Linked DNA regions of Drosophila melanogaster. Changing the gene in region 2 together with the main gene of any one other region gives a genetic interaction. Each region holds a gene or a part of one and is shown on either strand. Other genes may lie near its edges. The genes, in order: wit and Neto.

What was found.
Region 1: of Neto (region 2) and wit, changing one enhances a phenotype caused by changing the other (phenotypic enhancement), as found in Drosophila melanogaster (one study listed by BioGRID).

What each region holds. Positions count from the first base shown.
Region 1 is NT_037436.4:4,070,118-4,074,043, forward strand, and holds the start of wit (wishful thinking), read right to left. Parts: upstream 1,601-3,926; 5' UTR 1,292-1,600; intron 165-1,291; exon of another isoform or gene 66-164; coding exon of another isoform or gene 1-65. Other genes in the region: CG32259 (uncharacterized protein), read left to right, coding at 1-65; Faa (fumarylacetoacetase), read right to left, coding at 1,968-2,314, 2,373-2,974, 3,035-3,252, 3,637-3,723.
Region 2 is NC_004354.4:13,443,817-13,447,742, reverse strand, and holds the start of Neto (neuropilin and tolloid-like), read right to left. Parts: upstream 1,841-3,926; 5' UTR 1,466-1,840; intron 1-1,465.

The DNA.
Region 1 (3,926 bases), on a different chromosome or scaffold from region 2:
GCCAGAAAAAACTTTGGAAGATGCGTCAACGCGATAAAGCCCAGTTGAAGAAAAGCTCCGAATAGAATATTTTCTGTTCCTTTTCCATTTTCGTACAATATTTCTTGTATCATGATTATAATAATGTTCAATTTATAGAGCAATTATAATTTCGAAGGGACGCTATTTCTGGCCTTTCTTTTCTCCCATTTCGCTTCTGGTTTCCTCTCCTTTCTCCACTTTCAGCAAATGCGCACATGAAGAGAACTCAAGAAGCTAGAGAGCGGTGTCTCTGGCGCGCCAAAACAGGTTCAACTGGCGCTGTCCCAAGTGCTCCGTGGAGTGGGCCGAAGGAGGACCCGCGGGCGAGGAGGCGGAACCCGCCGGCTGCTCTCGCACGATAGCCGACGGCGCCAGTTAATTGCAAATACTGCTCGATACCCTACACTTGTCAGGGTGTACCCAACACGCTCTAAAACTATCTTGCATTAAAATCTTGCACCAATAAATTTTCCTAATACTTATGAATTAAGAAAAATCACATTGTAACACAGGAACCTATGTTAGTTTATAGTTCGTTTTATCACAGGGTATAAAACTGTCTTTAGGCTCACATTCTCCTTCGCTGTTAGTGTGTTTTGGGCCCCACCGTTTTGTTGTTCTTTGGGGCCTGATTAACTTTTTGCGTGCTGCGTGTGCATTTGTCCATGTCCCCATCCTCAGACACATCCGCGCCATTCGGGGGATACATCTTCGTGCTGCAGATGCATTTGGCCAAACTGCGACAGTCGGTGTAAAAAACGATGTGGAAAATCAATGCAAAAACACAAAAGTGCATGCAGTCGGCGGAGGACAGCAAGAACAACAATGGCGAAGGGAATTTGAATGGGTATGGATTCGGAGGTCTCTTGTTGACTTCATTCCACACAGTAAACAAATGGGTTGTATATTATTTTATAATGTATCCAAAATACGAATAATTTCAATGGCCCCTTGATCCTACTACTCGAACGCAATTGTTCTACATACATATCTTTAAAGAACATCCATATGCATACTATGTGATAATGTGCAAAAGATATTAACATTTCTAACAGTGCATGTGTACTGTGAGCAGACAGAGTGTTTTCTGCCAGGGTGGGTGGCCCACCCCAACCCGCCGTCTGCCCTTCGCTAGTCAGCGTATTTGTGTGTGTGTACTTGCGCAGAGTGGAGTAAAAAATTGATTTTTCCAAGACATTCAGCGTTGTTTGCGGAAAACATTTGCACTATTCTGCACTAATTTTAATTTCAATTTGCGAGCAGCACTTACACTTAATTCAGGGCGCTATTCAACCACTGCACTTGCACTTTAAGTTGTATTACTTATTTATTTCTTTTGTTTTAAATAACCGAAAGAAGTTGCACACTCGTCGGAAAATTTATTATTGGGGCACCGGCGCCAGTCGCGTCTGCTTTGCGCTGCACGGCAGCTTTTTTTATTTCTACGCTTTTTAGAGGCTTTTTTATGGCACTTTAAACAAGTTTGCCCGATAGGCGGGCCGTTTTGCCTTTCTGCCGTTTTGCCGTTTGACTTTTCGCAGCGCGCCCACCTTCGCCCGCCGACTTTCGAGGAATGAATGCGGTTTGCTGCTCCGCTCAGCTATGCTCCCATTGGCGCTCTCCGCTCTTCTCTGCAGCCAAAGAAGAAGCGGCGTGCGCGTATTTACGAAGCTGCGTGGAATGGCAGAGGCTCCGATTGGAGCGAGAGTTGTGTAAACGAAAGAGAGCAAGGCATCGTAGCGAGAGAGCGAAAGAGTTGAGCACTTGTTGAGCTTATTACTGTGCACCGAGAAAAAATATTACGTATACGCTACTATGGATGGCCATTTATCCCAAAAAGTATGCTTTTGAACGAAAAGTTGAAGTTTTCCGAACATCATAATGTATTGACGTATCCAGGAAGACTGAATAGAATTTATTTCATTTACTTATGTTAATAAGTGGTCCTACTGCGGAACGGGGTGGGCAGGCAGCACCTGACCCACACACTCCCCGAATCCGATTCGCAGTCCGTTCTTTTCGCAGTGGCCACGGATGATGACCTCGTCAAAGTCCTGGAGGAATTTTCTGGTCTTACCACCCGGAAGCTCCAATGTTTTGGTGCCCTTCCAGCAGAGCTCTAAAAGTGATCCGTACGAGTCTGGAGTCTCACCGGAGATCGTTCCGGAGGCCATCAGATCACCAGGACGCAGATTACAACCGGTGACTGTGTGATGAGCGATTTGCTGCAGTGGAGTCCAATAAAGGTGTTTGAAGTTCGACTTTGAAATAAGCGCTTCGTTTTGATCGGCGGCTGAGAAGGGGAAATTTTGTGAATTAACGTAACAAATCTTTAACAGGCGGCAACTTACGTTTCAAAGACACCTCGAGGTTGATATCAAAGTTAAAGGGAATGTTCTGGCGCAGATAGGGAAGCACCTCCGGTTCCTGAGGAAAGTTGTCCAAGACGAAGGGCTTCAGGGCAGCTGTGGGCACTACCCAAGGGGAGATGGTGGTTCCCAGATTCTTTGCGGTGAAGGGGCCCAGTGGCACATATTCCCACTTCTGAATATCCCTGGCACTCCAGTCGTTCATCAGCGTGAAACCGAACACGTTCTTCCAGGCCTCATCCACGCGTATGGGTTCACCCAGCTGATTTCCCTTACCACCGATAAAGAAAGCCATTTCTAGTTCGAAATCCAGAAGCTTGCAGGCGCCAAAGACGGGCTTCTCTGCTCCATCGGGAAACGTTTGACCAAGAGGACGACGGATGGGAGTACCGGAAACCACCACAGAACTTGCACGACCATGATAGCCCACCGGCAGATGGCGCCAGTTGGGCATCAGAGCATTGTCTGGTCCACGGAACATAATGCCGACATTGGTGGCATGGTGGATGGATGAGTAAAAGTCTGTATAGTCACCAATCTGTGCAGGCAGGTGCAGCTTGATCTCAGACTGTGGCACAATGGAACTGATAAATAAATAAATTATTAACTATGAATAATAAATTATTATAATAAATCCGACTTACACCGCCTTCAAGTCCACATTGTGGTCCAATTCTGAACCCTTCGTCAATAGCTTTTGAGTCTGGCTTCTTACCACATCCCAAGCTTCAAAGTCCAATCCCATAAGCTCATTCAAAGTTTCGGCCTGCAGGCTTTTCTGAACTTGGAAAGGAAACAACTGCGAGACAGCTTTCAGGTCCAGGACATGCTCTCCAATGGCCACACAAATACGGTGAACTTTCTACGGATGGTAAGATGAAAAACACCATTTACGATATACAAATACGATATATGATATGGGGCCTTATCAGAACCTGGTTGCTGGGGTATTAAAGATTGGATTAGCATATTGTTTTCGTAAACAAACTAGTTTGTCTTGGATGATGTATGCAAATGCTATGCCCCAAAGCGGTTTCTGTTCTAAAGTTGATTTCTAGAACATGTGGAACGATCCAAAGTCACATGAAACTGAAGAAAAACTTGAAAATATTACACGGAAAACAGGCTGAGTTAAAGGAACATTTGCTTTGCCATTTACCACTTTAGTTATCATTTACAACAGCGAGACCATTGTTCTAAAATCTCATAAAAATATAAGATTTGATTTCAGTATGATATCACTCACATTGTTTTCGGTTGAGAAGACAGCGTAGGGTAGATTTTCCAGCGGAAAATCGCTGTTCTCTGGCACTGGCACAAAACTCTGGGACATTTTAAAAGCACTCAAAGTGGAAAACTTGGGCAGGTTGGTGCGAATCAATAAAGTGAAGCAGAGAAGCGGAAAAAGCGTGCGCGGAGCCAGAGTGAGCTAGATAACAACTGAGGGATTTTCTATTCACGATCCGCCTTATATAGGTGCTCAGACCACAAGATCTTTCGGCTCTCTTAGCAAAACCAAGCCCCCAAAGGTAAAGA
Region 2 (3,926 bases):
TTAATGGACAATTAACAACCAACACAATACCCCGTAAACAATTAATTTATTCAATCTACTAATGCAATAAATAAAGATTGCATTCAGTTTTGCAAGCCCAAATGATTATTATTGTTTTGCGGAGTATATTTTTATTTAACCTAATAGCATAGTTCATCAATCCCTAATCCATACACTGCGTATTCGCGAGGGTATTTAAAGAAAAGCCGATGGAAAACCTTCGTCAAAGTTGGCGCTAACGGAATTGTTGTAGTTGTAGCTTGGAAAATCTTCTTCAATAACAGCAGCAACAACACAAAATACCCATTACGCATATGTAATAATTTTTATTTTCATTTTTTTCCGAATTTTCTTCTGTTTTTTCTTTCTCTTCGTGTGATCACAGCTGTGCCGTGGACAAGGAAAAGCGGGAAAACGAAAGGGAAAATTGGTGAGAGAAGTGGGAAAGCCTGATGGCAGCCGTTTAATTTTTGCTCTTGTTTTTGTTGCTGTCTTTTATTAATGAATTTCTCTCATTTTTCACCAATTCTCTATAGCCTCTGCGTTCGTGTCTTTGGTTTTTATACAATTTTCCCCTCTTCGCTTACTCGTTCTGCTCTTGTTTTTTTACTATTTGGGCTATGTCTAAAAATATGTCCGCCAATTCGCTAAGTGGCCCCAAACTTATCTATACGGGATACATAGAAAATACGGTCGAAGTTTCCAAACGAATGCGACAAAATAGTTTAAATTAAACATTCATTCGAAATCTTTCAACATATATTGTAGCTTATATGAGATAAATAATAAAAACAACAAAAAATCGAACACTTTTCAAAATGTTTAGAAATGTTTAATCGCAAGTATATTCGATCTAAAACTGCTGAACAAATTAACAATTAATAATATGTATAAATATATCCCAAGACGCATTAAAATAAAATCAAAGACTTAAAGCGCACTAATAAAAAAGAAAAACTCATTTAAGTGGGCACTTACTAGGAAATTACTAGAGATTATTTTAATATTGCTTTAGAATCCGCATAATGGACGCCTTCTGTGCAAAAGGAATTTTTATGACACATCCACTTTTTGCCTTTTCATTTCCATTTTGTTGGCTAAAACCGAACAACTTTTACAACTACAGGCTAAAAGAGACTAATGTGCCCTCTGGATCATTGAAGCTTGATTTATGCAAATTTCATTCAGCTACCACAGCCATAATGCCTTGATTTGATTAATATATTCGCAAACATATTTATTGCCTATTATGCGGAATGCAGCAGTATACGTATTTATTTTATAATTGTTATCCTTTGCAACTTAATATTGTCACTAGCCCACTAATTAATTGGTAAATATCGGCAAATAGATTTGTTATTTTAAGAAAACACGGAAATATAATTTGTTTACATTGCAAAGCTGCCATCTAATATATATATGTATATGTGCATATGTTTAATTTATATATATATGTATATATTACTATTTGCGTGTTGTCGCCTCCTTTGGCTGCGTTGCGAAATGTTGTTTTTATTTGTTTTTGTTGCCGCTGCGCTCCGCGAAAATATCTCAATTTTTGGCGCGCATTTTTCAAGCCGGCAAGCTTTTCACACACACACACTTTCACACTGGCACTGTCACTGTCACACAAACAACCAAACAAAAAAATTTGTATTTCTTTTGAACAAAAGCAAAACCTTAAGATTTTAAAATCGTATCTCTGGTGCTTGTCTATTAGCAACCAATCGCGATGTTTTTTTTTTTTTGGTAGTGAAACGTTAATATCGAATGTGCTGTCACCGGAGAAAGCGAACCGCGCCGCGTGTCCGTACACGTGGCCAACTCGACGTAGACTGGGCGTATACGTAATGCCGGAATTTGTGGCTCTGCTGCATCGAGTCTGCCGCTCGACTGTTGCCGCTGCCACGGCGGATGCTGCCACTGCTGTTGTCGACCCGCCAGTGCTGCTTACTTAGCCGGCTTTCCCGACAACTCTGGCTAGTTTTTCCAGCCGCTCACTGTCTTATTCTTTTCTATCAACCAAAAAGAATTGTATTCGTATTTATTACTTTATTATGTTACTACCTAAAATTGATTGAGTTGTTTGCCCAATATCTATAGAAGTTTTTTTTTTAATACTAACAATCATTAACATAATAAAACAAACTAATTGGATTCCACTTGTTAAAAAAAAAAATACGTATTAATAAAAATATCTAATTTTAGAAGAATATCACACCATAAAATAAAATACTTGCGAGAATCTAGCAATTTTTGTCCATTTCCCACGCTTAAAAATTAATTTCCCGAAAAGAAATTTAAAAATTATAAGCTGATATGTATTATCTTATTTTTCTAGCCTCTCAAATTGACAGTACTATTTATGACGGATCTTAGCTTTTAATTATTTCTTTTAAACAAAAATTGTTTCCTATTAGATTTACGGATGTGAATATGAAAACTGACAGTGATCTATAATATCTTGCTTTTCTATAGAGATTAAGAAATAAAAACTTAATAAAAATAAATTATGGGAAACGTCTGCTCGATATCCAGATGCATTTCTTAACATCAACATATTTTCGCCGCCCACTTTCAAGCTCATTTTAGTATATACATTTTGATATGGTAAAGAGCCAAAAAATAGTGCGATTTATTTTAAAACTTAAACTCATTTTATCACAACATTTCACCAAAACGTTAAACAATGATGCAAGTATACGGGTTTCATGCGAACCTTAAGAAATTGGAAAATAATTATTTTCAGCTTTTTTTCCCCCCCAAAATATTTGGCATCTCTGAGGATGCTCCACAAACGCTCAATGTCGAGTGAGTGGGAATACGAGGCGATGGCCGAAAGCAGCCGAAGTGCGTTCGTTTGTGGCACAAAATTTCACTCGAAACGGAATTTCCCATTGTTCGAGTGCGAGTGAGATGGGAGTGAGCGGGAATTTTGAGTGAGTTGTAGGTTTTTTACTCATTTCCGCTGGCACTTCCGACGTCGTCCTGGGCCAAGGAAGTTGTAGCCACGCTGACAAGGACAACAAAGTCTGTCTTCATTTTTTGTTCGGCTTCTTCGCAAAATATTTTATTTTATTTGCTTTGGTTATATTTTGCTTTCTTTGTGTTTTTGTTGTTATTCTCTTCTTTTTTTTCGTTTTTTTTTTTTTGGTGAAATGTCAAATGACATGCCTGGATCACAGACTGTGGAAACTGTTGTGAATGTGGTTTTCTTAAAGCCTCAAGCGATTTGATATTTCCTTTGCGATTCGTTTGCATACATTGTACGAAATGTGTGCGAAATAAAAAAAAAAAACGACTTCTGTGGTCTCTTAAAAACTACATTCCCTTCATTACAACATATTTTTAATAACTTGAGATCCCGCAGATTACGTGAAGTTTCTCCAGACACTCTTAATTGCCTTTATATTAGCTTTCGAAGCGTTGCTATGACAGAACGCGTTAAACACCTCAAATAAAAGTAGAAGCCTATCATCTAATACTCTCTCAAATTAACCAATTTTAAAATCTATGTCATTGCTCGAGCTGCTTAAATTAAATTGATTATTAAGCTGATGGAAACCTTAAAGTATAACCAACAATCTGATGTTTATTATTGCAAAAACATATAAAATTTCCAATTGTAGGTTGTAGTTACGCTTACTTGATAACCTGATTAAGTTTTAAACGAAAGGCAAACCAAAAGAGAAGTTGTCATTATTTTCATTACCTCTCCCAAGCTTAGCACGTTTGCAAAATAATATAAAATAAACTGATGTTTCGAATGCAAACTATAACAAGCCGTCAGCTGTGACTTAAAATCGATGTAATCACATTAATACCCAATTAACCTTAACCAAAGAGTATCCTTTGAGTCTGCCAGCTTGAAATTCCAGCGTAAAAAAGTGTTGCCTGCGAAGCAAAGGGACAAAAAGCAGCGCCAT